Linked DNA regions of Pelodiscus sinensis. The protein of the gene in region 1 binds, or shares a complex with, the protein of each later gene. Links are inferred from orthologs where the notes say so. Each region holds a gene or a part of one and is shown in the gene's direction. Other genes may lie near its edges.

Region 1 (7,882 bases):
GAGCAGAGTGCAAAGGCAGCATAGAACCAGAGAGTCGCAGGGAAGAGGGAGAGCAGGGGGCCTGGAGTACAGGAGAGCAGAGGCAGTGTGGGGAATCGGCGGTGCGGAGAGAAAGCGGCGTGGGGTTAGGGAGGGATTTCAGAGTGCCAGATCCAGGGAGCCACCAGAGGTGAGCACCCCCGGTCGCTCCCTGCAAGCAGCAACCTGTCCCTACTGCTCCTGACAGAAGTACAACTAGGATGCTTTGTATACTACATATGTGTATAGATGCTACCCCCAGAGCTCTACTGACATGGTTCCTGGCCAATGGGAACTGCAGAGCCAGCACCAGGAGCAAGGAAGGGGTCCTGCCATTCCACCTGAGCGTCCCCCCTCCCCCCAGCTGCCTCTGATATAAAGGAAGGAGCACAAGGGCAGGAGGCTCTGTAGGATCCTAGCACAGGGGTGGGAGGGACACAATGGCTCCTGCCTCTTCCTCCCTTGTTGTCTTTGATACAGAGGCAGCAAGGGGCAGGGAGAGCATGCGTAGTCATTAGGATTAACCAATAAGCCCAGGTATCTAAAAGGGTGTCACAAGGAGGAGAGAGAAAAATTGTTCTCCTTGGCCTCTGAGGATAGGACAAGAAGCAATGGGCTTCAACTGCAGCAAGGGAGGTTTAGGTTGGACATTAGGAAAAACTTCCTAACTGTCAGGGTGGTTAAATACTAGAATAAGTTGCCTAGGGAGGTAGTGGAATCTACATCTCCCACAAGAAAGAAGGGCTCTTCCGCAAGAGGAGGCTTTTCCGAAATTTGGCCCATTGTAAACGGAGTGCAATTTGCATACCATTTTCCGATAGATCACTGTAATGTAGATATAGCCCAAGAGAGCAGCTAGCTGGGGCTGGCTCTCTCAATGGCTACTAGGCCAGTTAAGTGGCCCCTCTGCCCCAAACTCTTCCCTCCCCTGAAGCCCTTGGCCATAGCACCAGAGCAGGGGGAGAAAGCCCTGCTGGACAGGAAGGGAGGGGGAAAAATCCTGCCAGCCTGGAACCCCGCCTCTTCCACCCCAGAAGCCATAGCCTGCCCCATCCCCCAGCTGTCCTGTGTGGCTCTCCACTCTGCCCCTGGTCTGGAGAAGCTGGAGGGCAGGATGTCCCCTTCCCTGGGGACAAGTTGGTAGGTGGGCTGAATGGCCCCCACCACGCCTGGGGACAAGCTAAAAAGCATCCCAGCCCCCTACTCTAAGCCCTCCTCCCAACCCCCTGCCCTGATTCCATATACCCAAGGCTCTGCCTGGACTTCTGTACCCCCCCACACAGCCAGCCCCCTGCCCTGAAGAACCTGGGCAAATCTTCTAGTGTACTAGATACACTAAAACATTTGTATACCCCTTCATGATTTGGCCATTATTCCAGAGAACATGCTTCCATGTTAAAAAAGTGTTAATGCAAAAAGGTACCAATGTGAGATTTCTAAAGACAGCTACAGCACCTGACCCAAGGTTTAAGAATCTGAAGTGCATTTTAAAATCTAAGAGAGATGAGATGTGGAGCATGCTTTCATAAGTCTTTAAAAAAGCAACATTCTACAGAAACTACAGAACACAAGTCACCAAAATAGAAAATCAACCTCCTGCATCTAAATGAGATGATGAAAATGAAGATGCATCACTTTGCACTTCTTGGAAAGTTATCAAACAGAATCATCAGCATGCATGCATGTCTTCTGGAATGATAGTCGAAGCATAAAGAGACATGAATCTCTAGCGTATCTGGCACATTAGTATCTAACAATGCCAGCTACAACAATGCCACGTTACAGTTTATTCTTACATTTAGGTGAAATTGTAAATAAGCAGGCAGCAAACTCTCATATAAATGTAAACAAACTTGTTTCTCTTAGCAAGTGGCTGGAAAAGAATTGGGATTGAGCAGACTTTATTGTTTTATTTTTGAATGCAGGGGTTTTTGCATGTAATTCTATACTTGTAAGTTCAACTTTCATGATAAAGAGAATGTACTGCAGTAGTCGTATTAGGTGAATTGAAAATATTTTTAATCAAAAATATAAAATGAGCACTATACACGTTGTATTCTGTGTTATTACAGAAATAAATATATTTAAAAATGTAAAAAAATCCAAACTATTTAAATGATATTCTATTATTAACATCATGATTGATCATGATTAATTTTTTAATCACTTGACAACCTAAATCTTAGAGTCCAACAGATATTCTGTGTAGCATAATGGAATAATGTCAATAACAGACAGTAGTTTACTAAAACACTCTAGCCAAAAACAGTGACAGAGTTAGATAAAAGCAGTACCTATCGACCCTACCTGCTTTAGAGTGGGGCATCAATGTTCTCAAGTCTTGCATTAGATGTCTTGTTCTGAAATTTATTCCTCTAGAAGAGAAAATAAGCACCCGCTCTTTGTTTTTCCATTTACCCTAAAAGAAACACAAAGGTGAAAAAAAATTTTAATCTTCAACTTTTTAAAATCAAAGTTAATATTTAATCAAGATATTTGTGATTTTTTTAAAACTGTATTTGTGCAAAAGTTTTCAATTAAAATAAAGTGCTGTCTTTCCAACAGGCTGCATATATAAATGTTAACGTGATCAATTTTGATCTTCCACACTTAACTACTTAATTCCTACACAAAAAAATCCTAATCAATTCAACGTTTTCAGTGTCAATATTTGAGGATGGTCACATAAAATTTCCCCTCTTAGGGTGTGATTAACTTCATGTAACAGGATGTACCTGCTTGCAGACAGAAAGGGTAAATACCATGAAATCTGTGTTTTCTCATTTAAACAATAACAATGAGGGTTAGGGATGGGACAGGAATCTAGACTGATAGAAAACATATCTAAATATAGCAAAATGACATTAAGTACATGAAAGTTAAACTGCATACAGTGGTAGTACAGAAGTGTTTATGTTATCTAATTTTAAGGTGAAGAATGAGTGAAGAATTAAGGTCAAGTCTATAGTACAGAAAGTTGGTTTAAGGTACGCAATCCCAGCTACATAAACAACATAGCTGGAGTTGACGTACATTAAGCTGAACTTTGGTGCCATTCCCACAGCAGGAAGTCCATGGGTGAAACACACTTATTGACTTTCCATACTCCTTGTGAAAGTGAGGAGTAACAGCACTGATGGGGAGAAGGGTGCCCTCAGAGCTTATTGGAGAGTGGGGTTGGGGCGCTCTTGACAAGAAACTTGGCTGGGGTACAGGTGCTTGTCCCACTCCCTGTAAGGAGCACCTGACAGGGCAGAACAGGATAAGCACTCTTGCCCCAGCCACACTCCTCAGCAGGAGCATTCCAACGCCGCTCCAAATATTTGTTCTAATGACGACGGTTATAAAATTCAGATTGATGTTTACAATAATATGGTTGGTGTGCCCATTTTATTAAGCCATAGGCCACACATACACCCAGATGCGCCTCTTCAGAGCAAGCGCTGAGAGATGGTTTGCTGCTGTTGACCGATGCAGATCAGATACACATTGTTTCTAGTCAATGTTGGTCAGATGTGGATCCACATGTTTATATCCACACAGGGCTGTACTCATATGAAGAGTATGGGTGACTACACAGATCAAGACAACACCTATCTCTGTGGAGATCAGTGCTCTGCTCTAGGGATGTTAAGGACTAGTCAACTAGTTAAATGCTTATCAGATAGTCAACAGGATAGCTGACTAGTCGTTTCCCTCCCTTGCTGCCTCTATCAGAGAGGCAGCAAGGTGTGTGTGTGGGGGGGGGGGGGGGGGAGAAGATGGGGTAATTCAAATCAGCAATGCCGTACGGAGCACTGCCCCTTTGAAATGCCTTGTGCAGCCTTTCAAAGGGGAAGTGCAGCACAAAGACCAGGATCAGCTGGGGATTCCCCAGATAACCCCGGGCTCCATGAAGTGCAGCCCCTTTGAAAGGCTTCATGCAGTACTAATCGAATAGTGCAAAAGCGCATCCAAAGTGCATCAACTATTTGATTAGTCAATTACATGCTACTTAACATCCTTACTCTGCTCCCTTCCACGCTAAGCAGGGGGCGGCCCTCTGAGACTATGGATGACTTACAGGGAAGACAAGTGTTTTTTTAAATAAGGCAATATCGCTAAAAAAAGGACTGAGGCAGATGCTTCCCTTAAGCGGCCTCCTCCGCCCCGCTACATCCCAACAGGCCAGACAAAGCCAGACCAGACCCTTCCCGCAGCGGGACCGGCGAGCTAAGGTGACCTTGTTCCCACCCCCAAGAACGAGAACACAAGCGATGGCTCCCCAGCCTCTCAGCCCAGGCGCCGCATGGAGACAGGCCGGACTGTGCCAATACTCTCGGGGAAAGGGGTGCACAGGCCTCGGGCAGAAGCGGGACCAGCCGCTCTCTCTACCTTGCAGACAGGAGCCGGGATGCTGTGCTCCTCCCTCTCCGCTCCCTGCGGGCCCCGCTTGGCCCACGGCCCGCTGCCATCGGGAGCCCCCCTGGCTCGCTTCTTGGGCCGCGCCGCAGCCCCTCCACGCTTCCTCTTGGCCGCCGCCATCTTCATTACACGTGACGCGTCCGTCACCCGGAAGCTGCTCTGCTCTTCCGCCCCTCGCTCTATGGTCAGCGCCGCCGCGCTGCCCGGCTCTGGGCGGCCTTCGTGTTACGACAGCCGTAAGGCACGGCGGCGAGCGCCGCCTCGTAGGGAATAGGTAGGATCCGGGTGCGGCTTCTCCCCATCCCCGCTCGGCCCGGGGCCGCCGGCTCCCCAGCGCGGGCCCGTTGGCCTGCGAGCGCCTCGTGCAACGGGACCGTCCGTGTCGCCCAAGCTGGGGCGCCGCCGGCTGGGAGCCGCGTGGGGCGCTCTGCCCTGCAGCGCCCGGGACACGGGCCTTGGCTCGGCGGGCTGCAGCGCCAGTGGACGGGGCGCGTGGTAGCCAGCGACCGGCGCGGCCTGGGGCCGCTGTTCCTCCGCCGCTTTCATTGCACTGAACTCCAGCCCCTCTCGCGGGCAGCAGCAATAGCGACACGTTTACACTTGTACCGTCTGGTCACTTTCACCACCGCATTGCTGCCGGGGCGTCATCGCAGCTGCCAGCCGGGCAGCCGTTCCCGCCTGTCCTTGACCACCAGCGGGTTAGAGTAACAGAAGTATGTGACCTCTGTTTTAGGTTCTCTTTGACACTGCCCCTGCAGGCCTCACATATACGGTCACAGGGAAGATTGGAGTGGTGAATGCAAACGAATAATGCCCCTCTCTACTCAGCTGGAAACTGCCGATGATCAGTATGTTTTAGTCGCCAGTCTTGACAATGTCAGAAACCTCTCGAATATCCTAAAAGCGATTCATTTTAAAGACTATGCAACGTGTTTTGCAACTAGAAATGGAATCAAGGTAACAGTGGAAAATGCAAAATGTGTGCAGGCAAATGCCTTTATTCAGGTAAGGAGCCCAGCACATCATCAGACCATTAATATATCTGTCATCAGTCTTTCACGTGTTTAAAATTACAGTTTTTTTCCCTTTTTCTTGCACTTGGTAGTGGCTTTCCCAATGGACATAATCCAGTCAAACAAAAAACAAAAAGATGAGACCAGTGGATGCAAGGCATTAGATATCTCAGTTCTAGACTTGCAATAGTGTAGATGTTGATAGTATTCAGAAATGCTGGAGTTAAATTCTTAATGTATCAGAGATGGAAATGTTTTGCTATTTTATTATTGTTACTAGCAGACTTACTCAGCATTGATTGCCTACATCTGATGTGGGTGGGGGTGTGGTGGGGAATGATGACCCTGTGTGGGCTGGAGTTGGAGGGGAGGGGCAGCTCAGTGCTTGCCAGGGGGCCTGGGCCAGGGACATGGGAAGGCCCAGACCAGGGTTTGGGAAGTGGGGGCAGGGTGATGGGTGCATGAAGGTCTCTCCCAGGCTGCTGGGGGTCCTATGGGGCAGCTGGGGTTGGGTTGGCCAGCCCCGATGGTACGGCAGGTGGAGGGGTTTTAGACAGGGAGGCCACTTACAATTGGCAGCTAAGGTGGTAGAGTCCCATCCTCAGCTGGTCACTCTTGCTAGTGTGGCTGCCCTCATTGATCACTCTGCAGGATAGCTCTCCTGTGGGCTCACTACCCCCCAGTAGTGAGTGTGAGGATCTCTCCTCTCTGCTCCCCTCCCTTTCCATGTAATGGAAAACTATCAAATTCTAGGCACATCTCATTTTCTTGGCACAACCAAACCCTGAATTTGCCCAGGTTTATCCGTTAATTCTAGCCCATGGAGCTGTTTGCCCACCATGAAAGGCAGCAGCAGGAGGAGGGGGTAGGCGGGAGCTGATGCTTGCAGACAGCCGGCTCCCCGTGAGCACCAGCTCCCTCCTGCCTACCCACCCTCCATGTGTTAACATATAACCACTAAAAATTTCAGCAGTCACATGCTTACACAAATACACAGTTTTTAACATCCTTACTACACACCAAATTTGGTGGCCCTAGCTCTTACCATTTAGGAGGAGTTTGTGAACAAATGGACTGACACGCACATGCACTTTAAAAAATATAGATAGATAGCATGTGAGAGGATCACCATTATTTTTGCATTGAGTCTTGTATTAGCACATAGTATGAAGCCACTGTGAGATGAGAGAGCATTAAATAAGCCAGGGAAAGTATGAGAGAGACTAGAATTATCTAGAACAAAAAACAGGACTATGTAGCACTTTAAAGACTAACAAGATGGTTTATTAGGTGGGCCAGACCCACTTCCTTAGATCAAATACTGTAGTGGAAGAATATTGTCACAACCATCTATACCAAAGCATACAATTAAAAAAATGAACACATCTGAAATTTGATTTGTCCTTTTCACATGTGTGCATTTTTTAAAATTGTATCCTTTGGTATATATGGTTGTGACAATTTTCTTCCACTATTTGATCTGAGGAAGTGGCTCTGGCCCACGAAAGCTCATCACCTAATAAACCATCTTGTTAGTCTTTAAAATGCTACATAGTCCTGTTTTTTGTCCCAGCTACACCAGACTAACACGGCTACATTTCTGTCTCTACAATTATCTAGGAATGGAAACAAAGTATTTGACAGAAGGACTGTTGGAGAGAATAAGGAATGGCATGCAGTTTATTTTAGGTGCTGGAGAGGAAGTATCAAAATGGTAGGAATAAGGTGGAGAATCTGACCCAGCGAGTGCCATGCAATACTGCTGGATGTTAGTTAGAGGTGGAAAAAGACCTTGTAGGTCAGGGAAGAGCAAAATAAGGCCTGCAGGCTGGATGCAGCTTAACAAACCACTGGATGCAGCCCATGGACACAGCAAAGAGCCTCACACAGGCTCCCTGCCTGCCCCTCTTCCGTACGTTGCTCAGAAAAGTGACTTGTCGGGCCATTTGTCTGGGGAGGGGAAGAGGTTCCATGTGCTGCCCCTGCCCCTACCACAATTCCAATGGTCGGTTTCTGGCCAATGGGACCTGCCTGTTTGAAGCACAGCAGCATGCAAAGTACCTCTCCTCTCCAGCTCTTAGCTGTACACACATACAAATGACCCTGCACCCATATGCTACTTAACACAAACCCTCTGCCCTCCCTCCTGTACCACTCTAGGTCACAACCCAAACTCCTGTACCCCAGTCCCCTGCCCCATGTCGCAACCCCCTCCTGCCATGGGTCACAATCCAAACCCTTGCACCCCCTCTTGTACCTCAGGTCACAACTGCCACCTTCACATAAACTCCCTCCCAAAGCTCGCAACCCCTCATGCACCCCAATCACTTCAAGCTCTCTTCTGCATCCAGCCTCATAAGAATGGCCATACTGGTTCAGACCAAAGGTCCATCTAGCCCAGTATCCTGTCTTCCGACAATGGCCAGTACCAGGTACCCCAGAAGGGG
Region 2 (7,206 bases), on another chromosome or scaffold:
AGTCTAGTGCTGCAGCGCCCCACGATTCCCAGGAACCGCTTCGCTCTGTCTCCAGCACGCCTGGCTCCAGGGCTCTTGCTTCTACTGCGCCTTGTCGCTTGCCGCTGGAAGCTCCATCCACGGGGTGCAGTGCATCCCACTTCTGACACCAGTGTGACGGCGCGTTGGGGGTTCCCCGTCTCCTGCACCCCGAAATGGCACAAACAGACTGCACCAGCCAGTGGAATTGAGGGTGGTTTATTGCTCCTCCAGCACAGCGCAGCACAGATGTAATCTGGTTACAGGAACTGGGCTAGGATGCCTCAGGCCCCCTTGAGATGGGGGAGACTGGGCCCCTAAACTCCAGCCCCTTCCCCTAGGCTCTCCTCCATGCCCTCCGACAGCCAGCAACCAACTCACTAACTTCCAGCCCTGCCCCCCAGCCAAGGCAGCATTCCACCTTCCTTTGTTCCTCTCCATGGGGGGTGTCTGGCCACTGGTTTGCATAGTGACTCATCCTGTTTTGCTGGGTCGTGGTACCCACGGCAGCCAGTGGGGGTTCCCCCAGAGCCAGCAGCATAGAAACCAGCCAGGTACCCCCACTACGTCACACCCTGCATGAATGAGAGGGGGGAGCAGTGCTAGGGAGCAGGGGGTGCTGATCCTGTGTGACTGCCGGGACAGGGAAGGGCTGGGGAATAAGCAGGGCTGACCTTGTATGAATGAGGACTGGGGGAGCAATGATGGTGGCACTTGAGAGATCTGACTCCGTGCGAGTGGCTTGGTTGGTTGGGAGCGCTGCAGTATGTTGACATTCCCATATTCACACAGGGTCAGTCTTCCTCAGAGGGGTTATAGATTCTCCTTGACCTAATTTAAGGGCTCCACAGACTTATGTCCCCCCCCCCCCCACCCGCCCCCTCGCCTAGTGCAAGCTTCCCATGTGTCTTCTCCAACACAGGATCTGGGAGGTCAGGAGAGAGGAGGGGAGGGGTGCACATGGCTTTGGACACTGCAGAGGTGTGTGTGTCACGATCCCAGCCAGCTGTGTCCTATCCACAGCCCCATAAAACTCTGAGCCCCGAGGCCAGAGATCCTCAGGGGATGCTTGCTCCATAGGAGCCCGGCTGCTTTTCAAGAGCTGGAACGGACACTCTAAACACCAAATCTAGTTCTTCTGGGAGGAAGAGGGGCTGTGCCAAGAGTCCCTTCCAGGGGCCACTAATGTCCAATTCTTCTCTTCCTTCTGAAGGCTAAACCAAGAGCCCACTTCATAAGCATAGCGATGCAATTCTCATTCTTTTCCTCTCTGCAGGACTGCACCCAGAGCCCATTCTACAGTAGGCACAGAAATCCCATACATAACCAGTCCCCAACATCCACAATCCTAATGGGTACCACCTAAAGAGCTTGCAGCAGCCTCAACAGAAAAGCCAAAAAGTTACTGTTCCAGACAGTCATTAGGCTAATTCAGGGATGGTGGGGACTTAATCCTCCAGCTTCTCTGGCTGTACCTGTTCTAGGAGATTCAGAGAGGGCTCTAGACTCCAGGGCTGTGTCTACATTGGCCCCTATTCCGTAATAGGGATGCAAATGTAGCACTTTGGAATAGGCAAATCCGTGGGGGATTTAAATATCCCCCACGGCATTTGCATTAACATGGCTGCCGCTTTTTTCCGGCTTGGAAGTAGGAATAAGAGATCCTCTGAAAAAGAGCTTATTTTCCGGAGGATCGCGTCCAGACTGGCGCTTTTCTCCGGCTTATCTCCAAGCCAGAAAAAAGCGGCAGCCATGTTAATGCAAATGCCACGGGGGATATTTAAATCCCCCACGGATTTGCCTATTCCAAAGTGCTACATTTGCATCCCTATTACGGAATAGGGGCCAATGTAGACACAGCCCAGGGCTCTCACTTCTACGGTTCATCTCCTCCACCATCCCTCATGTCCCACACACTTAAGCAACACACCCTAAACATATTAACCAGAGAGAGACATTTTAAAAAAGAAAGGAAATGAAACAAGGTGGGAGAGAAAGGAGGGTAAATGCTTCACAGACACATATTTATGACTCAATGGATTGTGGGACCTAATGCTACCATTTTCTTCTTGGAATAAGTAGGGATGTCAACTTGTAGTGGACTATACGATTAACTGATAAGCTTAGGCAAACCCCTAAGATAACAAGCTATACATCTCTCCCAGCCTGGACTCAGTTTCCCTCCCCTATAAAAGCACTCTCAGAGGTCTGCTCACACTAAAAGGAACTTTCATGTACAGCTGCTGCAAGGGGATATGAGGCTACCAGGGCCATATGCTCCCAATGCCTGGAGTCACAGAAGGGAGGGGACAGAGTTGCAGTTAGCAGCAAGAAGTACCTGTAGCATAAAAGCCCTTTTGTGCTGCACAGAATGCCCCTTGGAGAAACAGTCAGAACTCCCATTTCTCAGGGAAACAAAACTTCTGGTTTGCCCCATAGATTCAGCCCAGTGACGGGTTAGAGAACCAGCTGCTAATCTGGCTCACACAACATCAGCAGGATGGTTAGCTCTGCCCAAGGGCTCTTGGTTACACTTGGGCAAACTAATGAAGGCAAAGGGGTTAGGGTTGTGTGGGACTCACCCAGGGGCAGGACTCAAAGGTGAGGAAGGGGAAGGTCACAGGACAGATGGGGTGTGGACTGCACATAGGTCAGGCTGTGGCCAGCCAAATCATTCTTGCTGGTGGTGCTACAAGGCTGGGAAGTCTTCAAGCATGTTCCTGGGACATACGAGGCTTTTGTGTCACTGAGATGAGTACAGGGCCCCACAAGGCGGGTTTGACAGCCACGCACCAGAACAGAGCTGCTCAACTAAACATAATTCACCTGTGCTGGGTTGGGGGAGGCTCCACGATTCTGCTCAGCTGGGGCACAGGGAGGGCGCTGCAGCCTGGCAGAGCATCCCGAGCTGGGAAGGTGCTAGGAAAGCCCTTGCAAAGGTTCCTCTTGGCCTGATGCTCCCTGGCCTCATCCTTATATCCGGACGGGGTGCCAGTGTCAGGGAATGGCTGAGCGCCGCCACAAAGAGGCAGACTGCGGTTGCTCTTGGCGATCACAGCCTCCAGCAAACTAGGGTAGCAAGTCTGGGGGCCTGGGGAGGGAATCTGAGTCCTGAGTCTCCAAGCGCAGGATGGGGGGGGGGGCCCAAGGGAACAGACTCAGGAAGCAGGGAGGGTACTCTGGTGGGGGGGGCAAGTGTGGTTTTGGGAAGACAGCCCAGGCCATGGGGTGTGTGGGGGTGACTCTGATATGGGGCAGGAAAGGAGCCTGGGCCTAGTGTGAGCTGTCTGTGGCCTTGGAAGGGGGTGTCTGGGGGAAGGGGGGGGCTGAGCTTGGGGGGGGGGGAGGATACAGACTCTAGTGAAAGAGCTGTGAGGGCTGGCAGGGGCAGGACCTGGGCTGGGGGGGGGGGGCAGGGGCAGGACCTGGGCTGGGGGAGGGGGGACCATGGGGTAGGGGCAGGACCTGGGCTGGGGGAGGGGGGACCATGGGGTAGGGGCAGGACCTGGGCTGGGGGAGGGGGCATGGGGCAGGGGCAGGACCTGGGCTGGGGGGGGACCATGGGGCAGGGGCAGGACCTGGGCTGGGGGGGGGGTCCCATGGGGCAGGGGCAGGGCCTAGGCGGGGCAGGGGGTCCCTGAGGGGATCCCAGGTGAGCAGGGCAAGACCTGCCCTGCGGGGGTGGCAGAGGCAGGCCTGGGCTGGGGGTGTCTGAGGGGAGACGAAGGCGCCTAGGCCGAGCTGAGGCTCTGGATGGACCCCGCTACGTTACCTCCCACATTCGAAGCCCCATTGGCTGGTAGTTCTGTCCCTCTATCGGCCCAGCCAATCAGCGGCGTGCGGCTCCTCCAATGGCAGCTGGGGACGGGTCCACCCGGCGCAGCGGCCTAGGTGACGCGGGGACAGCCACAAAGAGGCTCCACCCCGGGAGTTCCAATGCTCGCTAAACCGGCGCGGCTCCTCCCCGGAGACTTTGTCACATGACGAGAAGAGCTGGCTTTCCCCCGCCACGTGACCCGAGAACCAATAGGATGCGCTAAAAGGCGACGCAAGGCAGGGCTCGGCCAATGGGAAGACGGCTGGAGGAGAGGAGGCGAGTGGCGGCCGGGCGCGGCAATTGTGGGGGGTGCTGGGCGAGACCATCAGGCACAAGTGCTGTCTCTGCAGGATCCCCCGCGTGCATCAGGGGCGAGGAGCGACCCCCGGGCCAGGTGTGAGGGGGCGGGGCCACGGTGGAAATGGGCGGGGCTGTAGTGGATGGGCGGGGCCACGGCAGGGACCTTGCGTGGGGTGGGACGGGACGGGGTGCCAGGGGGCAGCATGTGGGGTGGGACGGGGTGCCGGGGGGCAATGTGTGGGGTGGGCCAGGACGGGGTGCCGGACACGTGGCAGGGGTGCAGCTTGTGGGAATAGGGCCTGACAGGTACCAGGGAGGCAGTGGGTGGTGGGGAGGACTCGGTGCTGCAGAGTGTGTTGATGCTCCCAGTAGCTGCACAACTCCATTGGCAGCAGCATCTTCCCTTGGATTTCTGTTTCCTATGCCGGAGAGCAGCTCTAAGGCTGGAGCGGCATCAATAAGCCCTTCCGAGCCCTTTGGATGGGAATGCACAGGGAGAGTAGCAGAAACTGGCTTTTAGGGCTGCAGGCACCGGACTAACAAAAAGAGCTATCGCCTGGGCATCCCAGCTGTGTCTGGCCTTGGTTCCCAGTGTGGTCAGTGATCCGTGTCCAGCTGAGGACTTAGGGGAGAGGTGGGCAAAACAGCACGAGATGTTCAGTCTCACTAACCCAAGCAATAGATTGATTGGCTCAGCACATCCTTAACATCCTGTTTAGACAGCCACATCACAGTGACTAATGCATCTTCCCACCCCAGGGTGGCTGGTGCCCTGGAAGAGGGCATGCCCAGCTCACTAAGGAGACACTGTGAAAATGATAAGCCATTGTAATCAGCACAGGACATAGAAATGGAACTGGGGAGAGAAGAGAGACTGGTTAAAAGAAAGGCTCTGGGCTGCAAGTTGCAAAATCAGAAGCACAGGGATCTAGGGGTCATAGTGGACCACAAGTTGAATATGAGTCAACAGTATGATGCTGTTGCAAAAAAAGCAAATATGATTCTAGGTTGTATCAACAGGTGTGTTGTAAGCAAAACTCGTGAAGTCATTCTGCCGCTCTACTCTGCACTAGTTAGGCCTCAGCTGGAGTACTGTGTCCAGTTCTGGGCGCCACATTTCAAGAAAGATGTGGAGAAATTGGAAAGGGTACAGAGAAGAGCGACAAGAATGATTAAAGGTTTAGAGAACATGACCTATGAAGCCAGGCTTCATGAACTGGGCTTGTTTAGTTTGGAAAAAAGAAGATTAAGGGGGGACATGATAGCGGTTTTCAAATATCTAAAAGGGTGTCACAAGGAGGAAGGAGAAAATTTGTTCCTCTTGGTTTCTGAGGACAGGACAAGGAGTAATGGGCTTAAAGTGCAGCAGGGGAGGTTTAGATTGGACATTAGGAAAAAATTTCTAACTGTCAGGGTGGTCAAACATTGGAATAAATTGCCAAGAGAGGTGGTGGAATCTCCCTCTCTGGAGATATTTAAGAACAGGTTAGATAGACATCTGTCAGGGATGGTGTAGATGGAGCTTGGTCCTGCCTTGAGGGCGGGGGGCTGGACTCGATGACCTCTTGAGGTCCCTTCCAGTCCTATGATTCTATGATTAAGTGTAGCCAGGACATGTGGGAGGGATGATCTGGCAGCCAGAACCTGGGGCAGCTGGAGTGGCCAGAAGGATCTGGGAGCAGGGCAGGTGGCAAAGGAGACCACCTGGGTCTGTGATGGGATGAGGATGCAGGACAGGCCGGTGCTGGTTGAGACTCAGTGTGCATCTCCCACAGCAGGAACGAGCCCTATTCTATGCAGAGCTGAGGCAGTTGGATGTTGTGTTAGAAGCTGGGGCTCTTGATACCAGACAGGGATTGACAAACCCCAAGGTTGAGAATAGCCACAAAACTGTACAGGGAGTTGGAAGGGACAGTTGGCCTGAGGGCAAAGGAGTGAGCCCCAAGAAGGGAGAGGGGTAAGATTAAGAGCTGCAGCAAGGGGCTAAGAAGGTGCATCTACCTCTCTTGATTCCTCCTGGAGCTTCAGTCTGACAGGGGTTCCTGCTTGGCACTCCTGTGTGGCTGTTAAACAGCTGTCCTCCTTCCCCTCAGAGGTGGCTGCAGGTTGGTGCTGGGTATGGGGAAATGCTTTGGTAGCCTTCAGGGGAAAAGAGCTAGGAATGTACTGAGTTGATTATTTAGGGGTGGGGTGGGCCACTGGCCCACAAAAAAATCAGTGAGGGCCACACATACCTGAGAAGCAAAACAAAACCCCAAAAACCCACCTCACTGACCTGACTCCCAGCAGGTTTGGGGCTCACACTGCAGCCCTGCAGGCTGGATCCAAGTAAGCCAGGGACCAAATCTAGCCTGCGGGTGGTAGGATCTTCATGACTGATTTAGGATGTGGTCTCTCTCCAGCATTTTCTACTTATTTGTCCCTGGAAGAGGTCCCTGTGCAGCGCCGGAGGTAGACTCTCTCCATCACCGGGCTGGATTATCTCAGGGTTCAGGGCGCTGTGATTGGAATGGGGGTTTGAAACCCGCCTGCAAGGGTGGGGAGAGCCCATCTGCATCACTCTGTTGCCATGAGGTGCCTTGTTACCGGGGGCAATGTCAAAGGTGAGTGCCGGGCTACCATCTGGGCATGGGGTGGGGAATGGGGCATGTGGCAGGTACCAGCTCCCATCTGGCCCCAAGGCGGGGGGGGAGTGGCTGGCTCAGCAGGGGGGGGAACGGATCAGGGGCCTTTCCCTCTAGGAGGCACTGGCTGCAAATGGCTGTGTTTCCTGCCTCAGAGAGCTGGAGTTAAGGGGAGTGAGGACAAGATGGGGCTGGACCTGGGGATACTAGGTGGAGACAGGCCCTGGGTCACAGTCTCTCTCTTTCCCCCTCAGTCCTCGGGAAAGCTGTGCATTCTCTGTCCCGCATCGGAGACGAGCTCTACGTAGAGCCCACGGAGGACGGGGTAAGGGTGCAGCTCTAACCAGTGGGGGTGGGGGCACTGTTCTGATCCGAGGGGGAGGGGAGAACTGAAGGGAGAGAGCTTCCATCAGGGTTTGGGGGTTATTTATCGCAGGGCTCCTAGGG
Region 3 (7,928 bases), on another chromosome or scaffold:
GGCCCAGGAAAATTCCCAGGAAGATCCTCTTAACTTCAGGACCCTGTTGCAAAGATCAACTAGAGGCTCAGGTTACACAGATTTTGTCAGTTGGGCTCTCTTTGAGTGTTCTCACCCATATGTCCTGTTTTCAGTTTCCAGAAGTTTCCTCTTTTATGTGCCCCACATCTCCCCACTTACCTTCATCCTCTCCTGCACAGGTGTCTTGTTCTCTTTCTCCATCTCTTGCTTCACAGTACAGGGGCCCAGCCCATCGGAGCTCATCTTCCCTAGCCATTGGATGTTAGTCAAACTGTTATCCAAGCCGCTGCTTGTTGCCTCTCCACTGCCTGCAGGGAAACAAATGGAGAGCCCTGCTCATTCACCTGCTGCCATTCCAGATGCTTAGAGAGAGATCCTAGAAAGGTCTCCTCAAAAGGGCTCAAGCTCCCCATCTCTAGCTAGAGACACAAGGTGGAGATCTGATGCTAAAAGCATCTTGCAGATCTAGACAGAGCTCCTGATTTAGCTGCAGATCAGCCCAATTGCTGTAAAGGCTCCAAACCTAAAAATCCCAAATTGGATCTGAACCTTCAACTGCCCTGGCCCAGAGTGACTGCTGAGAATAGTGCTTAAAAACATCACAAGATATTTATTAGCCAATGACCCAAACATCTTTGTCCCAGCTAGGGATGTAAAAACAGCCCAGAATAGTTAAGCAGTTAAATGATTTAACTGCAGGCAGTGCGGGTTGCTCTGGACCCGGCAGCTCGCTGTGGCAGCTGCTCCTGCACGCCTCCAGCCAGGCCCCCATTATGGGGTCAACAGATAAGCATGCTGGTAAGGTATATGTTTACTGGTTAACCTTTAACATCTCTAGGCCCAGGCTGAAAAATCCTCTCTCTTGTAGTTCTGACCCCCCCTCACTTCCCACTCTGTCACTATAGGCACTTCCCAAGTTACAAATATCTGACTTAAGAAAATCTGCACTTGCAAACACAAACGCACCTGCAGCCTCAGGGAACAGGCAGGAGGCACAGGTTGCAGCAAATAGCGCAAGTGCTAGACGGAGGACTCTGTAGGAATAGGGGGTGACTGTGCAGCTGGCAACTGAAGAGAAGCAGCACTTACTCCTCTGGAGTTCTCCTTCCGCATTCCTCCTCCATGTGAGTGGGAGCTAGGTGCAGCTCCCAGAGGGTAGGGGAGTGGGGTGGGGAGGAAAGGGAGGAATGGCTGGGAGGATGGGGGCTGCCAGAGCAGGCACTGAGCATGAGAGGGGAGAGAAAGCTGGCAGATGGGGATGGCTGCAGGAGCCAGCACAGAGACCGGGGAGGGAGTACAGTTGAGGGATGCCCAGAAGTTCCCTTTCAAATCTCCACTTAACTCCTCATCCTCCTTTCCTCAAGCAGCAGCATTCAAGGTTAAATGAAAAACTATTTCTATAATTTTTCATTGCAAATTTATAGTATTTCAGCTACATTATGGGTCACATAGGCTTTTGTGGGCTAGCCTGGGCACCTAACCACCATTCAGAATATTGTTTCTGTGGGAAAATGCACTCTGAGTTTCAAATAACCAACTTACAAACTTTTCAAACACAACCCTTTCATAAGCTGGGGACTTTCTGTATACCAAAATCCTGACCTGTAACATACCTTACCAACTCTCAGAAAAACCCCAGGCCCTAAAATCACTGACTTTTACTTGGACTCAGGATTTGAACACCTATCAGCGTACATATAAACCTAATATATTAATCACCTGGGTTGCTTGAAATTTCACATTTTCACCACTGCGCTCTCCTATATCAAGCAGAGCATCAATCCCCCATCTCTACCCACTCCACATTGTGCTGAAGAGTTCAACAGAAGGGTACAGCCTACGTACTGTTTCCTTCCTGTTCTTGTCCTTCCATGGAATTGACTTGTGGATGCCACAGTACCGGCCTTTCCATAATCCCAGGGTTTTGTCCAATGTTCTTCTCTCCATCCTGACAATCTGCTGCTGTGGCTCCCTTTGTTGCTGTGCTTGTCTCATCATTTGATTGGAGCTTCTGCTGAGTTGCTGGTGAGCCTGTGGGGAGTGAGTTGCCCCCACTGCTGATGAGAATGAACTTGTTGGGCCCATTGCTGCCACATTCTTTCCCTTTGGCTGTCAGAGCCTCGATGATACTCTGAATGTCAGCATCGGGAGGGATGACTACCACCTGGGTGTTTGTCATGGTAGGGTGATTAATGATCTTTATTCCTGCTGGGAATTTCTGGGTGCTACCCTCCACTCTGTCCCTGGATTTGTCCTCTCTGACCTGCTCATGCTTGGGGGCTCCTTTACTTTGCCCATCTGGTTCATCTCTCGCTGGGGTGTTGGATGAATTGCGATTTGGGAGGGACAGTTTTCGTCTCTTGAGAATCAGAGGCCTGCGAGGGCTGGTCCTCATGATTGATCTGTACAGTCACTCGCCATTGAAGACTGCAAGAACAGACCCTGCAAAATATAAGAACATGAAAGAGGAGCTGTAAGCATGGAACGTACAGGAATGGAATGAATTATCTCTATGCAAGGTACCAAATCAGCTGATGTATGAGGGGTACAGTGGTAATCCTAAAAGAGGAAGATTCCTCACCATCTGTCTTGTGACTAGAGGACAATCCCTATGCCCATAGGGAAGAATTGCATGCCACATCCATTGAAGGGAAAGGTTCCTCCTTATTTATTGATACACATCTTGTGAAAACTCCATACAGATGAGGAGCACTAATTGCATGATAACTGAATATCTCAGATCACACCCGTGAGGTTAGTGTTATCATATTTGTTTTATAGAAACACCATAAACTCAGAGCTTGAAATAGATTTGTTAGAAGCCAAGCACTTCCTTTCTTAGCACTGTGTAACTCAATTCACCATCATCTAATGTCAGAATAAATTTCTTAATCTGGACTTTATGGATGGTAAACAATTTTAAAGTTTAGAACTAGGGGAATCAATGACAAAACCAGAAATAGGGATGTGGAGATAGGATAATTGTTGCATTTATGGGAGTTGTGGCAAGTGGTACTTTGCTCTTGCACAAGAAATCTTCAGTGGATCTACAGTGCTTGCATTATACAGATAACGTATGGGAGACTAAGAATTAACCAAAATGGAGAGGATTTCACATCATTGGAGCGGATTAGGGGTATTAAATATCAGTTAATTGAATAGTCGATTAACCTCATGAATTCTTATTGGTTACTTGACTATTCTATAGTCCCTAGGGGTGGGGCTGGCAACCAGTGCGCTCCAGCCCTACTCCAGAAGAACCTCCTGACACTCTGTGCTGCTGCCTGTGTATAAGAGACAGCAGCGTAGGGTACCAGGCAGGAGCTGGCCCGTGAGGGGAGCCAGTTTAAAAAACAGCTCCCCTCACAAACTGGCTGCCTGTCACCCCACAGCGTTGGGTGGCAGCAGCTCCTGTCCGGAAGGAGAGGGGTCCGAGTTCCTGGACCTGGCGTGAACCAGAACTGAGCCAGGTTAGCTGCCCACTTGGCTCTTAATACACTTTAAATGTAGAGCCACAGCAGGGGTAGATCCTTGATCTGGCACAAGGCAGGACGTAGGCTACTGGCCAGCCTGCTAAAAAATTTATTGGCAAGTGTTGGGGAGTGGGGGAGGGGGGGGGGAGGATGCGTGTAGTCTGTAGCATTAACAGACAAGCTTTTGCTTATCGGTTAATAGACTACACTATTACATCTTTAGAGCCAATCCAGCCTGTTAGTAACAAAACATCCTCAGAACCGATAATTTGTAGGGCCCTGCAAATCCACAGATATCTGCTTTCTATCCTCGGATATCCGCTTCCACAGATATGGTTGTGGATATCTGCTGCTCATTTTTACAGCTATGGATCCGTATTTTGTATCCGTGCAGTACCCTAGTCATTTGTACGGTCATAAAAGGGTACAAACAAAACTGACAGAAAAATAAACTAGCCCCCTTCCTAAGTGATAGAGGCAAGTGACACATCCAACCCTGGCCTCTGGAAGGAGGCGGCTTCACGGGACGCCCTGCAGCCACTGACAAAGGCCTCGCTGCATCCTGGCTGCGGGTGGTAGCTCTGCGCTGTCACACACACGCTGGGAATTCTCACCTGCTCTTTCCCCTGGCCCCAGCCCCTTCCCCCATCCATCTCCCCACAGGCTCTCCGGCTCCTAGAGCCCCCAGCCCGTGTTTTCACCCCTTCGCCCTGCCCCCCATGGCCCGCCGGTGCCCACCGACCCCCTTTCCCTTCCTAGTGGCCCCTATCAGTCTCCCCGCCCCGGCCCCGCTCCCGCAGCAAGGCCCCTCCCAGCCCGCTCTCACCCCGGTGTCGGTGGGGGCAGGGGGTCGCGCGCCCCGCTGCCTCCCCGCGGGGACCCGGCACCGCCGGGCTCCGCAGCTCTCAGGGCACAGAGGCAGTTCGTTTCGTTTCCCGGTTTGAATTTGGCGCCTGGCGGCCCGTTGGCATCACGTGCGAGGGCGGGACCAATGGAGATGAGGCCTGGGGCCAGAGCGTTCCATCCGGCAACGGAAGTGGCCAATGAGCGCCCGCGCCCGGCGGTGCTCGCACACGCCTGACCCCTGGCAGGAGCTGGGATCAGACCCGAGGCCGGTTCAACCCCCCCACCCGGCTCCCTGCGCGGAGCAGCGTCCGCGGGGGCGGGGGCGCGGCCGTAGGAGGCGGCGGCGGCGGCGTTTGTCTCGGGGCTCTGCCCCCGCTCTCAAACGGTGGCCCCTGAGCGCCTTTGCCGCTGCCCTCCCCGCCGCACCTGCTCTGTGCTCCTGGGCCTGCCGCCCGCCCCGCCGCTGCAGCTTGGAGCAACCGGCCAGCCAGTGATGGCGGAGTAGCCGCCGTGTGCGAGAGACAGCCAGCCCCGGAGCAGCCGGGCGGGCGGCGTGTGCGTTCAGCTGCCGGGCTGTGCGCGAGAGAAAAGTGCCCAGGAGTTACTGGATGCCTGGGGTAGGGCATAGCGAGAGCACCGCGTATGTGTGTGTACACGCCTGTAGATAAGTAGAGCAGCGGACCCCAAACTTAGCAGGGTCGTTACCTCCTCCTCCCCTGTCTGCACCCTCCAGCTGGTGCGGCTGTGTGGACTAGGTAACCGGAAAGGGCCACGGCTAGGGATGGTGGAGCAGCATTATGTCAGTTCCACCTTGCTGATGTCGTTTAGTGAGGATCTTCCCAGGAGCAAGACATGACTGGATATACTCAATAGGGAGGACACCCCAAAAACCCAAGACCATGGGGAGAGGCACCCACTACAGACTATATCTTGTGTAACACCAAGAAAGCTCTGATTGTGTCCCTAATGGGAGTATGGCTGAGTGGATGTATATAAAAATGTATATTTCCATTTTTTATTAGACTTTTTTGGAGGCAGATCAGAAGTGTGTTCTATGTAGGAAAAAACAGTTGCTAGGTTTGACGACTTGACATCCCTCTGTTGCTTTCTGCAGATTTGGGTACAGTTTGTCATCTCTTTCCTCTTCTCCCTAACTGGCTCCACCAGGCATCATGAGGTTTCATAGCGACTTTCTTACCCTTTTTGATGCCTCCAAAGAAGAAATGCATCCACCAGGCTCACAAGACACAACTGCGATTCCTTGAAACTCCAATAGAGGGGCCTACACATCACTATGGATCTCCATTGCCTTTGGCTGAGAACCCAAGACGTGTTTCTACCAAACCTCTTGACCAAAATGCTTCCGTCTCATGGGTAGGTGCAGGTTTGTTTTCCTTAGTTTCTTATAGTAAGTGTTCTCAGCCTTCTTATGCATATCTTAATAAAGAATTGTTTGGAGTGGATCTTGGACATGGATTACACACACACTCCCCCCCCCCCCCCCGCCTGGTTACAGTGTTACAGTTGCTTCAGATCCCAATCTAGCAGTCACAAGCAGCCTGAGATGTATTTTAAATTAGCGCACTCACATCTAAATGGGAAATGGTGGCCACTGGCAGAGTTCCCTGTCTTGGGAACTAGCATGGTGGCATGAAAAGGTTGGGATCCATATGAGATGGGGATTCTTTTTGGCTTTTATGATAACTGAAAACCTTGGAAATGGATAGTAGAATAGTTACTGTTTAGTTACTCTTTATTGGATTTGATATTTAAACTACAGCAATTATTTCAAACTGTTTGGTATAACTCTCAACTCTCCAGCACTTAAATGTGACAACTTCCTGCTCAACTATGATACAGAAATAGAGTCTGCATCTTAATTGTGGTTCTCTTATTTAATATTCATGTATTAATAATCTCAATTTTGTAAGTTTGCCTATCTATGGTCACCCCCCAATGGAGTTAAATGTGGGTTAAAATGGATGTTATATCTTGTAATGTATATAGTTAAAAGGTGGAATACTTGATGTAAAATGATGAGGCCTACTTCCACAGATGCAGTGTGATAAGGAGCAGGTGTCTTCCCTTAGTTAAGCTTGTTGGTGAGAAATGCAGTTTCAAAAAGCCAGTGTATTGCTTGGAAACAAACAAGTATATGCCTGAGGTCAGTGGGAGTCTGTTGGAAGATCAAGCCTAAGGAGTGGATGTGTTTGTTTTCAGAGGCTTTAGCAGAACTACATAGACTACAAACCAAGAATCAACAGCAAGAAAAATGGTACTACTGAGAGAGTTGTATTTTCTAAAAAAATTTAAAATTGTGTTCACTTTTCACTGCTCATGTACTTTATTGATGTCTTGCATTTCATTCCTGATTGGACAATGCTGGTCAGTTTTACTGTTACACTTCATTTAGGTCAGTGCTCTTTTTGTGTGTGTGGTGGGGGGGGGAGTTGTCAACACCCCAATGAGCTCTTTAAAGAAACATGTTTTCATTGATAACAAATCTCAACTATTTGTTTTTCTGTTACATATTGTTAATGTAATATTACTTGGTTTCAATCAAAAGAAAATGTTGGGCCTGAAGTAAACCAGCAAATAGATCATCTCTTCTGGAAAGCAGGGTGATAATGCAGGCTACAAGCAGACACTATGGCGAAGATATCCAGGCAGCAGATTTTTGAAGCAGTTTTCTATGTACTTTAACCCTGCCCTCCTTTTCATTTTTGTGTGTGTTAAATCTTCTGCTTTTCCTAACACAACTCTTCCAATAGACTCAAATCTTGTTGAGAGGACTGCTAAGTTTCTTTTCACTCAGTCCTAGGATACTTTATTATGATATGCACATTTGCTTAAAAAATCTTGTAATTGTTCTGTAGGAGCTACCTGTCTTTGCAGAAGCCATTACCAGGCAGCTCTGTTAAATAACAACACTTAGGTCTCAAAGCTTTATAACAAAGCAGCCCTAAAAGATTTCAAACTTTAATGAGGAGTCCTGTGGTACCTTAAATGCTAACAGATTTATTTGGGCATCTTGTTCATTTGCAGCTGACAAAGTGGTTTTTACCCATGAAAGCTTATGCCCAAATAAATCTGTTGGTAAGGTGCCACAGGACACCACCTTGTTTTTGCAGATACAGCCTAACATGGCTACCCCTTTAAAACTCATATGAAACACTCCACCAGCCCCAGAGATCTAGATTTCTCTGTTTGATTTTAAATTTATTTTTGTATTTTTAATAGAGCATTTTAAACTCCATGAGTAAAACAGTTCCTGAGAGAAGACAGAATCCATTTCCATCTGGAACGATGGAAAATTTCCCAATGTAGACAAGGACTTATTTGGATTAGAGATGTTAAATGAAGATTAATTGGCTAATCAAATAGTCAATGCAAATTGCATCGACTATTCGATTAGTTGCTTAGGGCACCTCTGCCTTTGCTACACTTCAAAGGTGAAAGTGCTGTGGGGAGCTCAGGGCCAGCAGGGGACTCAAGTAGTCCCATGTTGGGCCTGTGCTTCCTGCGACGTTTCAAAGCGTCAGCGCCACAGGGAGCCCAGGCTCAGCGGGGGAGTTTCCTGCTGGCCCC
Region 4 (8,305 bases), on another chromosome or scaffold:
TGTAGACATACCCTTAGTCTGTAACAGGAAACACTTAAAAAATAACAAATAGTCTAGCTGCACTTTAAAGACTAACAATGCATGTAGAATCTAGATGGTATGAGCTTTTGTAGGTACAACTCACTTCTTCAGATGACATATACATTATGATATATCCCTACCCTTTTCTCTTCAGCTTCTCTCTGCCCTTAGTTTTTGATTTATTAGTTGATTTTATACAAATATCGGGCATTCACTCCTCTAAGATTTAATGCACTCTGAGACATGCCATTTTCTATTCCCAGAGGATTCATCCAATAATATTAATCAATAGCAATAGCATTTCAGCTTAGTTACTACCTATCTGTGACACTAGAGAGTAAGGGTACATCTACGCAGCACACTAAACTCGAAATAAGATACACAATTTGCGCTATGCAAATTGCGTATCTTATTTCAAAACTATTTCAAAATAGCTTATTTTGAAATTTGGCATATCTACATAGCGCCAGATTTCAAAATAACACGCTATTTTGAGCCATCTCTTATCCCTCGTGCAATGAAGTTTACCAGAATGGCGAAATAGCATACCTGGTATTTTGAAAAATATTTTGAAATACCAGGGGGCTTGCGTAGACACAAAGTAGTTATTTTGGGAGACCTCCGGTATCTCAAAATAGCCCTGCAGTATAGATGTACCCTTAGTTTCATGACAAGCTCAAGGAGGCACCTGTACCAATCTTTTTTTTTTTTTTTTAATATATCTGCCATATGCGTTACTCCTGTATAATGTTTTCCAAAGTCCCTGACAGTTCTCAAAAATGCAGCCAATGACCATGAAACAACATTGTGATAGTTTGGCTAAGTTAGGTATTGCAAATTTGAAAGAATGTATGACACTGCGTTTTTCTCTATTTGAACAACCAGACTCCGTGGTTAGAAAGATTGCTTCCATGGCATACAAATAGCATCTGCAATGTTTTTCAGATCACTGTAACCCCAACCTGTAAAATGCAGAGCACAGCTCTTATTTACTTCAATAAGAGTTGAGCAAACTGAATACATCATGGAATTGGCCCCCTCGTGATTCAGTTATTAATCCCTGGAGTGTTGCAGCTCTTAGACTAAAGGCGTATTTACATCTAGCTTGTTTTACTAAAATAGCTATGGGGTTGTGCATAGAACAGCTGACAGAAACAAAATAAATAGATGTTGGTTTTGCAGGCATTTTGCCTCCTATTTATCATGTCTCTTGTTTAATTGTTTTCATTTTTCATAATTAAATACAGAAATACAATATTAAACCAATGTAAGCAGCATTAACCAAACAAAACGTAAGAAAGAATTTATTTTAATATACGTTACAATCATTAAAATATTTTAATAGAATCACAAAAGATAAAATAATAAAGAACGATAGCACTGGAAGATAATACTACATATAAATGCAAAATTCTTTTTAAAAAAAGAATAAAAAATAAGGAGAAAATCAGTTTTAGTCAAAGGACTTGCATACAGCACTAGTTACAGGGCATGTGTAGATAGACTTGAAGCACACTTTTGCTCTTCATTAATCCTGTGAAAGCTGCTGTGAGGCTCTGCATCCCTATGCAAATTTAGAACAGTCCAATGACTTTGGGGGAAGAGGGAGTTTTGAGCTTTGATGTTCCTGTCTCTCTGACAGTTCCATTTTAAGAGATCTGAGCTAGCTTGTTTCTTTAGAGTATCCAGACCCTTCATGGTTCCTCTAACTCATTCATATGGGGAGAACACAACTTCATCAGGGGCAATTATTGCCGTTCTTATATTACACCCATTGCAGTGGTATCACTCACTATCTTTTATAGTAATTAGGGATGTCAGTGTGTACCCGTGTACATGGTTAACTGATGAGCCTGGGCTCATCGGTTAACCTTCACAGTAACATGCAGCCTCCCTGACCCACCGACTGCCTCTATATAGAGGCAACAGCATGGGATGGGGGAGAGAGATGGGGGTCAGTGCGCATGGGGAAGGGTACCAGCTTTTGTGGAGCCACCTGTAACCCACAGAGGCAGCAGCTGGGGGAGAGCAGGTGGAAGCCAGCTTGACTGCCCGCCCCCGCGCTACTGTCTCTGTATCAGAGGCAGCAGCGCATGCCGACTCCTGTGGAGCCGCTTGCCCACCCCCGATGCTGCTGCCTCTTATGAGCATTGATTGCCGCCTATCCCACCATCCTCTGCATGTAACTGCTGAAAATTTCAGCAGTTACACATTTACAAATATAAATGCATTTTAACATCCCTAATGATAATGCAGTGGGGGAGAACCATGGAGTCTACCCCAGAGAGTGGGCATTGGTGGCAAATTGATCTCTGGCTGCTGCTAAGGAAGATACTTGGGATCTGATTAGTGTTACATGGATGGGAACTCCAGAGAGGACTCAGGGTTGGAGCCTGGATTTGGCCTGAGATGCGTTGATTTATAACAGAGTTTGTCTCAGTATGTTCTACAAAGCATTTGCCCACGTGATTTAAGCACAAGCATGCAACTCATTGTCATTTCTGACAAGTGTTATATATTGTGTCTAGAAGAATGGCTATTAAAGCCTCATGGCTCTGCCTCCTCTGATGTATGATGTAAAACTGATATAGAGAGTTTCCACATGAGGTGAGTTGCTTAATTATGCTACTTGAAGATCCTACTGCTGGAAAATTCACACTATTGTCATTGTTTATCATGTAAAATTCCACAGCTCTTCCTCCACCCAACTTATAGGGTGAAGGATTTTTTCTCTCTCCTTCTATCTTGGTGTTATAATTATTTCACCTGTTACATGGCATCCTCTTTACACTCTGAACCACCTTCCCAGATAGCTATAGGGAGGAAGAGAATACAAGACCCCTGATAAGCTCCTTGAGGTAAGGACTGTCTTACTGTTCTGTGTGTAACACTTACCACAATGGAATCATAGTCCATGACTAGGATTCCTACATACAATGAATACAAATACATAATAACAGCATTTTCAACAGCAGCAAGCTTGGATCCTGTGCCTTTAAGCATGATTCCAAGAGTCAGCTCAGCATAATCCCTTTTGTACTCTAATGCTGGTTTTTTATTATTATTATGCAGAGACTGGTGGGCAACCTGTGACCCACGGGAAAGGGAAAAGGAAGAAAGAAACAGAAAGAAGAAGGAAGACCTGGAAGAAGAACAACTCACCTCCAAGACACAGCCTAAGATGAGGACTGCCAGGACTCTGCACAACTATGATGTGCAGTGCAACAACCAGGATCCAGATGAGCTTGACCTTGCATGGCCAACAGGAGAAGTTTTCCTGTTTTTATCAGGATTGCGGGCAACCTGCAGCCCACAGACCCTCTGCTGCCTCTCTCCCCTGTTACCTGCACAGACTTCTCTGTCACTCCCACATGTTAGGGACACACAACTTTACCCAATTCCTAGGGCTCAAGGTGTAACCCTGTTAATTTAAATGCTCACACTTATCCAATTCTTAGGGCGTAACTTCCCACGAGTTTGCAGGATCTTTTACGACTGAAAGAGCCTTACACAGTAATATCCTCACTTGTTATTTTTTGAAAATTGCCAAGCAAGCAGAATACACATGCTAAGCATACAGTGCCAGGCTCACCAATCCTGATAAAGTCAGACAAACTTTCCCTGTTGGCCAGGCAAGGTCAGTCTTCTGTAGATCCTGGTTGTTGCACGGCCTGTCATGGTGGTGCAGAGGAATCCTAGCAGCTCTGGTCTTGGGCTGTGTCTTGGAGGTGACTTGTTCTTCTTCCAGGTCTTTCCTTTTTCTTTTCTTCCTTTTCCCTTTCCTGCTGGTCTTCTTGAACTCCAGTTTATACAGTGAAACTTGAATCCTGCTTAACTATTTGTAAACAATTATTTTACTGAAATTTTATTAATTGTAACATACTGTAACAGAATTAGCTAGCCAATCATACTCTGCCACTTCAATTGATTTAAACCTAGCACAATTAATTATACAGCAGACAGAAATAATTAAAAACCAGACAGAGATCATACAGAGAAACAGTATGAGAGTGAGGACCATAATAATAGAATGAGGATTCCACAACCTCGACTACTGTGTGCCAGATGAAATGCCAGATGAAATGCTGTTTCTTTACCCATCTTGAGATCTGATTCTTTATCTGGTGATAGTGGGTGCCCTTAAGATGGAATCTCCTTAAGAGCCTGGTATGACACTAATGCAATTTAGGTGAGTATGTGACTCCAAACTTTACAGATAATGGCTGCTGCTTTTCAATCGGGCTGCAGAGGAAGACGTTAGACCTTCCAATATTCTACAGGCCTTCAAGAATGGCTACTGAAAAACCATATTGTTTCATATACCCCCATGCACCTCTCACACACCAGAGCACTGGAGCCCTGCACTTCCTTCCCCTTCCTCCCACCTTCCCAGAGGTGGAACACTGCAAATCACTCCAAAAATGCTGGGAGAGTGGAAGGAACAGGTAAGTGTGCATCTCCAGTGCCACGGTGTGTGCGGGAGGAGAGCTAAACAGGTGGGTCATGGGACCACAAGTGGAACCTAGGTGGACCACAGGCTGCTGGGGCCCACTGCGGTGAAGGAAAGCCATTTATGCTGCCCACTCACCATTCCTGGTTGCCATCAGACTGTAACCAAGAGTGAGCTAGCTCTCCAGCCCCATCTAGTGTTCACATTACATAATTTAGCTTTCCCTATCCTTCAAGGCAACTTTTCTTAAAAATACCCAGTTTATTGTTCCCTTTTTCTCTAGGCCTGGTTCCCCACATGGCCACACTAGTTTATACCAATGTAAATTCGTGATTACACTCACAACGGCGTAAAACTGGTGTACAGAATGCAGAGTCAAGCATAAGTATAGCCTCCATTTTTTTAACTGTTACCTATTTTCCCTTTTGTTTAATTTATGCTTATTTCCTTTCATATTTGGGCCAGTTCTAATCTTATGTGGGGCTTTCCCAACTCCTGCCTTTTTATATGGGTAGAGGTTGTTTTTCCCCTCTCTCTTAATATGTAGTACCAGTTTTTCCCTACTTCCTTTAGCTCTTCATTGTTTTTGAAAGGGAAGAGGGATCACTGCCAGCTCTATACAGCAGAGGAGTGCATCGGAGTGTGCGTGATTGCTCTCTGAAACACCCCCTTTGTGCTGCTACCGGCGCCGCTTTTACACCAGCTGCGCTCTACTGACCCCACCACGGGGGGACGCCGGAGTGACTCCAGTGCCGGGGAGACTCGGGCGCGTACCGCGTGGCTGCCACAGGCGCATGTTAGAGGAGGCAGCGGGGAGGGGAGAAGGGGAACCGGAACTGGCTTGCTCGGGGCCGGGCTTCCCGGAGCGGCTCGCAGCCGGGGCGGGTTTGTTTTGCTTCCAGCCCGGGCGGCTGCAGCCATGCGGTTTCGGGCCAAGATCGTGGACGTCGCCTGCCTGAACCACTTCACCCGTGAGCGGGCCGGGCTGGGTGTCTGGGCCAGCGGGAGCTCCGGGCAGGGAGCCTGTTTGTGGCGGGGCTGGGAGAATGGGGGATTCAAAACCCGCATCCCCCACTGCGTGTTTAAGTCTCGGTGAAATGTGCAGTTGGGTCCCCTGGCTTCTTCCTGTACCGCAGGGAGCGATGCATCCTCGCGGGCAGGGTAAATCGGGGCTGCTTTGCAAGCACCAGACCCTTGATGAGCCTCGACTTGCTGGCTGCTGCTGTCCTTGGCCATAGAATGCTTTGTACGTAAAGCAGCTACATCCGCAGTCGCTAGCTGGCTTGGGAGAGAAGTTTCCAAGCCTGCTGACAGACCAGTGTCACATTTGGCCCTTGCACAGCACATCGTTTCCCAAAAGCCATTGTTTAGTTTAACAAATGGGAAGACCGAGGCACAGAAATGTGTGCAACTGCTTGCCGAAGTTCTCAGAACACCTCAGTGGCAGATCTGGGACTATCTGTCCATCTGGGATATTTTCAGGGCATGTTGCACTGTAACCAATAGGCTCAATTATACATAAATAAAATGCAAATTTTAAAATTGTGAAAATGGCCTCTGCTCTTTGCAGATCCGAAATCATCTTAGTTCTTCCCCAGGCTTGATATATTTTATTATAGAGAGTATCTCTAGAAAGTATGATAAGGTCAGTTTTTAAACCTGTTTGAGAAGACAGTCCCTTTCCTTGTGTAGATCAGACCAGATAACGAGATGCCACAGACTGAATAACATCCAGATCAAACGCCATAGTTTTTCTGTTAAGCAAAAGTGTTTTCCAGTAAATCCATGTATTTACTTTTTTCTTTATGATGGTGTTCACAAAGATTTATAGCTTGCAATGTGAAAAAAAATCAGTCAAGTTTTAATACGCCTTTTAATTTCACATTAGCAGTTTCTAAGTTGCAAAACAAACCTGTGCGCCCAGTGTGATGCTCCAAAACTGAATTATGTCAGTGAGGAATTCTGGGGATTTCTGAGTATGGGGAGGGAAGAAGGGATTGCTATATTCCAAGGTGTTTGCTCACTTCTGGAGGTAGGCTATCATACAGTAGACAGACCATGAGTCTACAGCATGTTCCTATGTTCCAATGATTTTCTTTGTAATCTTCCATTTTTGTTTGTGTGTTTGTTTACTGTTTGTAATGGTAGCACCTATGAACCCAAAACAAATGGGCATCTTGCAAAGCAGTATAGAGACAAAAATAAAGAAGATAGCTCCTACCACAGATTTCTTAGGGAGTGTCTACACAGCACTTATTTCAAAATAGACCACTCTTCCTCTGACTTCCCTTACTCCTCTTATAGGAGGGTTACAGGAATCAGAGTAAGAAGTCCTCCAGATTGACAGTATTTTGACACTATTTTGAAATAACTGCTGTGTAGATACAGACTACGTTATTTCGGAATAGTGTTGCAGTGTAGACATACCCTCATAGTTTAGATGTTGGGATAGGAGATAGGTGACAAAATAAAATTATGTGCAGTGTAGTTGTAGCTTTTTAGTCCCAGTATATTAGCAAGACAAGTCAGGTAAGGTAATATTTTTATGGGACCATCTTCTGTTCATGAGAGAGACACACTGTTGAACCACAGAGCCAGGGCTGGATTACCCAATAGGCAGACTAAGCACATGCTTAGGGCACCAGCAAAGTAGGGGAACCAAAAAAACCCTGAGATTTTACAGTATAGTATTGTTTTTATTTTGAATTACATATGGGGGGTGGTACCATAATCTTTTCAGTGCTTGGGGCCTCTAAAGGTCTTAATCTGGCCCTGCACAGAGCTCTTATGTGTCTCAAAAGCTTGTCTCTTTCATCAAAAGAAGTTGATAAGAAATATTACCTCATCTCCCTTTACTCTCAAAACAAAATAAAGTGTGGAGGGAACGGGTGTGGGGGGGAAAAGAACCAAAAGATAATTTAGCAAAATATAGAAGTTTTGGGCTGCCACTTTCCATAGATTTATTTTAATAATGTTCTTTCCTACTGAACTGCAAACCATAAATTGCAAGCAACCCTTTTTTGGCCTATGCTAGAAGTGTTAGGAATTAATTTAATGAAACGTTATCCCATAGGTGTGATTAACACAATTGCCAAATTAGCCAAGACATGCACTCTACGCCTTGCAGTGGACAAACTTTACTTCATCCTTTCTGATAAAGTGGCAAATGGAGGGGTCAGCATGTGGTGTGAGTTAAATCAGGTATGTGCCAAAGAAATAGGCTGTTATTGCATAATTAATAGTATATGAAACATCTCTCAATGTCTTTAATATTAAGGTGGCTGTTCTAAAACTCTATGCGGGACTACAATGGTGTATAGACTTTTGTAATAATGTATTTCATAAGCAATCAAAAAAGCAGAACGTGCAGAACCATTAGCAAAGGGAAGGATAACAAGACCAAAATATCATGGGCCAGTGGGTCTGGCCCATGAAAGCTCATCACCTAATAAACCATCCTGTTAGTCTTTAAAGTGCTGCATAGTCCTGTCTTTTGTTATGGTAGGGTCTGTATCTTGATTACTGCATGTAGTTCTGATTGCCCCAGAATTGGAAAAAGTGCAGAGAAAGGCAACAGAGATGATGAGGAATATGGAACAGCTTCTGGATGAGGGGAGCTTAAATAGATTGGGACTGTTACATTTTAGAAAAGAGGCAACTAAGGGTGGAGGAGGAGGGAGAACGTTGTGGGTAAAGTGATTAGGGAAGTGTTATTGACCCTTTCACATAACACAAAAACCAAGGGTCACCCAAGGGCATGAATAGGCAGCAGTTTTAAAACAAACATAAGGAAGTACTTTTCACACAACTCACAGGAAACCTGTGAAACGTTGC

Evidence for each region.
Region 2: the proteins of RAD1 (region 1) and RAD9A are in contact, whole or in part, in a crystal structure (PDB 3GGR), measured with the Homo sapiens proteins. The link is inferred for Pelodiscus sinensis from reciprocal best matches to the Homo sapiens genes RAD1 and RAD9A. Residues at the interface, in NP_002844.1 of Homo sapiens: Glu165, Ala166, Ser168, Glu169, Asn195, Ala196, Gly197, Ser198, Ser199, His200, Leu201, Asp202, Tyr203, Pro204, Asp206, Ser207, Glu211; in NP_004575.1 of Homo sapiens: Leu76, Ser82, Val83, Ser86, Leu90, Lys92, Leu112, Phe116, Gly117, Val118, Arg119, Lys120, Thr121, His122, Asn123, Leu124.
Region 3: the proteins of RAD1 (region 1) and RHNO1 are in contact, whole or in part, in a crystal structure (PDB 6J8Y), measured with the Homo sapiens proteins. The link is inferred for Pelodiscus sinensis from reciprocal best matches to the Homo sapiens genes RAD1 and RHNO1. Residues at the interface, in NP_002844.1 of Homo sapiens: Asn47, Gly48, Ile49, Lys50, Phe64, Ile65, Gln66, Ser149, Lys155, Ile157, Glu211, Ala212, Lys240, Val241, Ser242, Arg244, Gln254, Tyr255, Met256, Phe266, Glu268; in NP_001239428.1 of Homo sapiens: Ser55, Trp56, Val57, Ser58, Pro59, Asp60, Phe61, Asp62, Thr63.
Region 4: the proteins of RAD1 (region 1) and HUS1 are in contact, whole or in part, in a crystal structure (PDB 8GNN), measured with the Homo sapiens proteins. The link is inferred for Pelodiscus sinensis from reciprocal best matches to the Homo sapiens genes RAD1 and HUS1. Residues at the interface, in NP_002844.1 of Homo sapiens: Asn85, Val88, Asp91, Cys92, Ser94, Ile95, Phe96, Gly97, Ser98, Gly127, Val128, Val129, Thr130, Val131, Cys132, Lys133, Ile134, Asn135, Gln137; in NP_004498.1 of Homo sapiens: Thr165, Ser168, Val169, Lys172, Met173, Asn175, Ile176, Glu197, Leu198, Val199, Cys200, Val201, Thr202, Thr203, His204, Phe205, Lys206.

The regions. Positions count from the first base shown.
Region 1 is NC_134716.1:107,058,873-107,066,754, forward strand, and holds the start of RAD1 (cell cycle checkpoint protein RAD1), read left to right. Parts: upstream 1-4,571; 5' UTR 4,572-4,696; intron 4,697-5,155; 5' UTR 5,156-5,232; coding exon 5,233-5,427; intron 5,428-7,882. Other genes in the region: BRIX1 (ribosome biogenesis protein BRX1 homolog), read right to left, coding at 2,326-2,437, 4,393-4,548. UniProt on the Homo sapiens protein: Component of the 9-1-1 cell-cycle checkpoint response complex that plays a major role in DNA repair. The 9-1-1 complex is recruited to DNA lesion upon damage by the RAD17-replication factor C (RFC) clamp loader complex.
Region 2 is NC_134714.1:127,078,964-127,086,169, reverse strand, and holds the start of RAD9A (cell cycle checkpoint control protein RAD9A), read left to right. Parts: upstream 1-4,073; 5' UTR 4,074-4,229; intron 4,230-6,537; 5' UTR 6,538-6,704; coding exon 6,705-6,738; intron 6,739-7,013; coding exon 7,014-7,084; intron 7,085-7,206. UniProt on the Homo sapiens protein: Component of the 9-1-1 cell-cycle checkpoint response complex that plays a major role in DNA repair. The 9-1-1 complex is recruited to DNA lesion upon damage by the RAD17-replication factor C (RFC) clamp loader complex.
Region 3 is NC_134711.1:125,750,990-125,758,917, forward strand, and holds the start of RHNO1 (RAD9, HUS1, RAD1-interacting nuclear orphan protein 1), read left to right. Parts: upstream 1-4,582; 5' UTR 4,583-4,957; intron 4,958-5,454; exon of another isoform or gene 5,455-5,507; 5' UTR 5,508-5,546; coding exon 5,547-5,714; intron 5,715-7,928. Other genes in the region: FOXM1 (forkhead box protein M1), read right to left, coding at 181-329, 1,867-2,416. UniProt on the Homo sapiens protein: Involved in microhomology-mediated end-joining (MMEJ) DNA repair by promoting recruitment of polymerase theta (POLQ) to DNA damage sites during mitosis.
Region 4 is NC_134712.1:158,116,273-158,124,577, forward strand, and holds the start of HUS1 (checkpoint protein HUS1), read left to right. Parts: upstream 1-5,287; 5' UTR 5,288-5,390; coding exon 5,391-5,442; intron 5,443-7,544; coding exon 7,545-7,672; intron 7,673-8,305. UniProt on the Homo sapiens protein: Component of the 9-1-1 cell-cycle checkpoint response complex that plays a major role in DNA repair. The 9-1-1 complex is recruited to DNA lesion upon damage by the RAD17-replication factor C (RFC) clamp loader complex.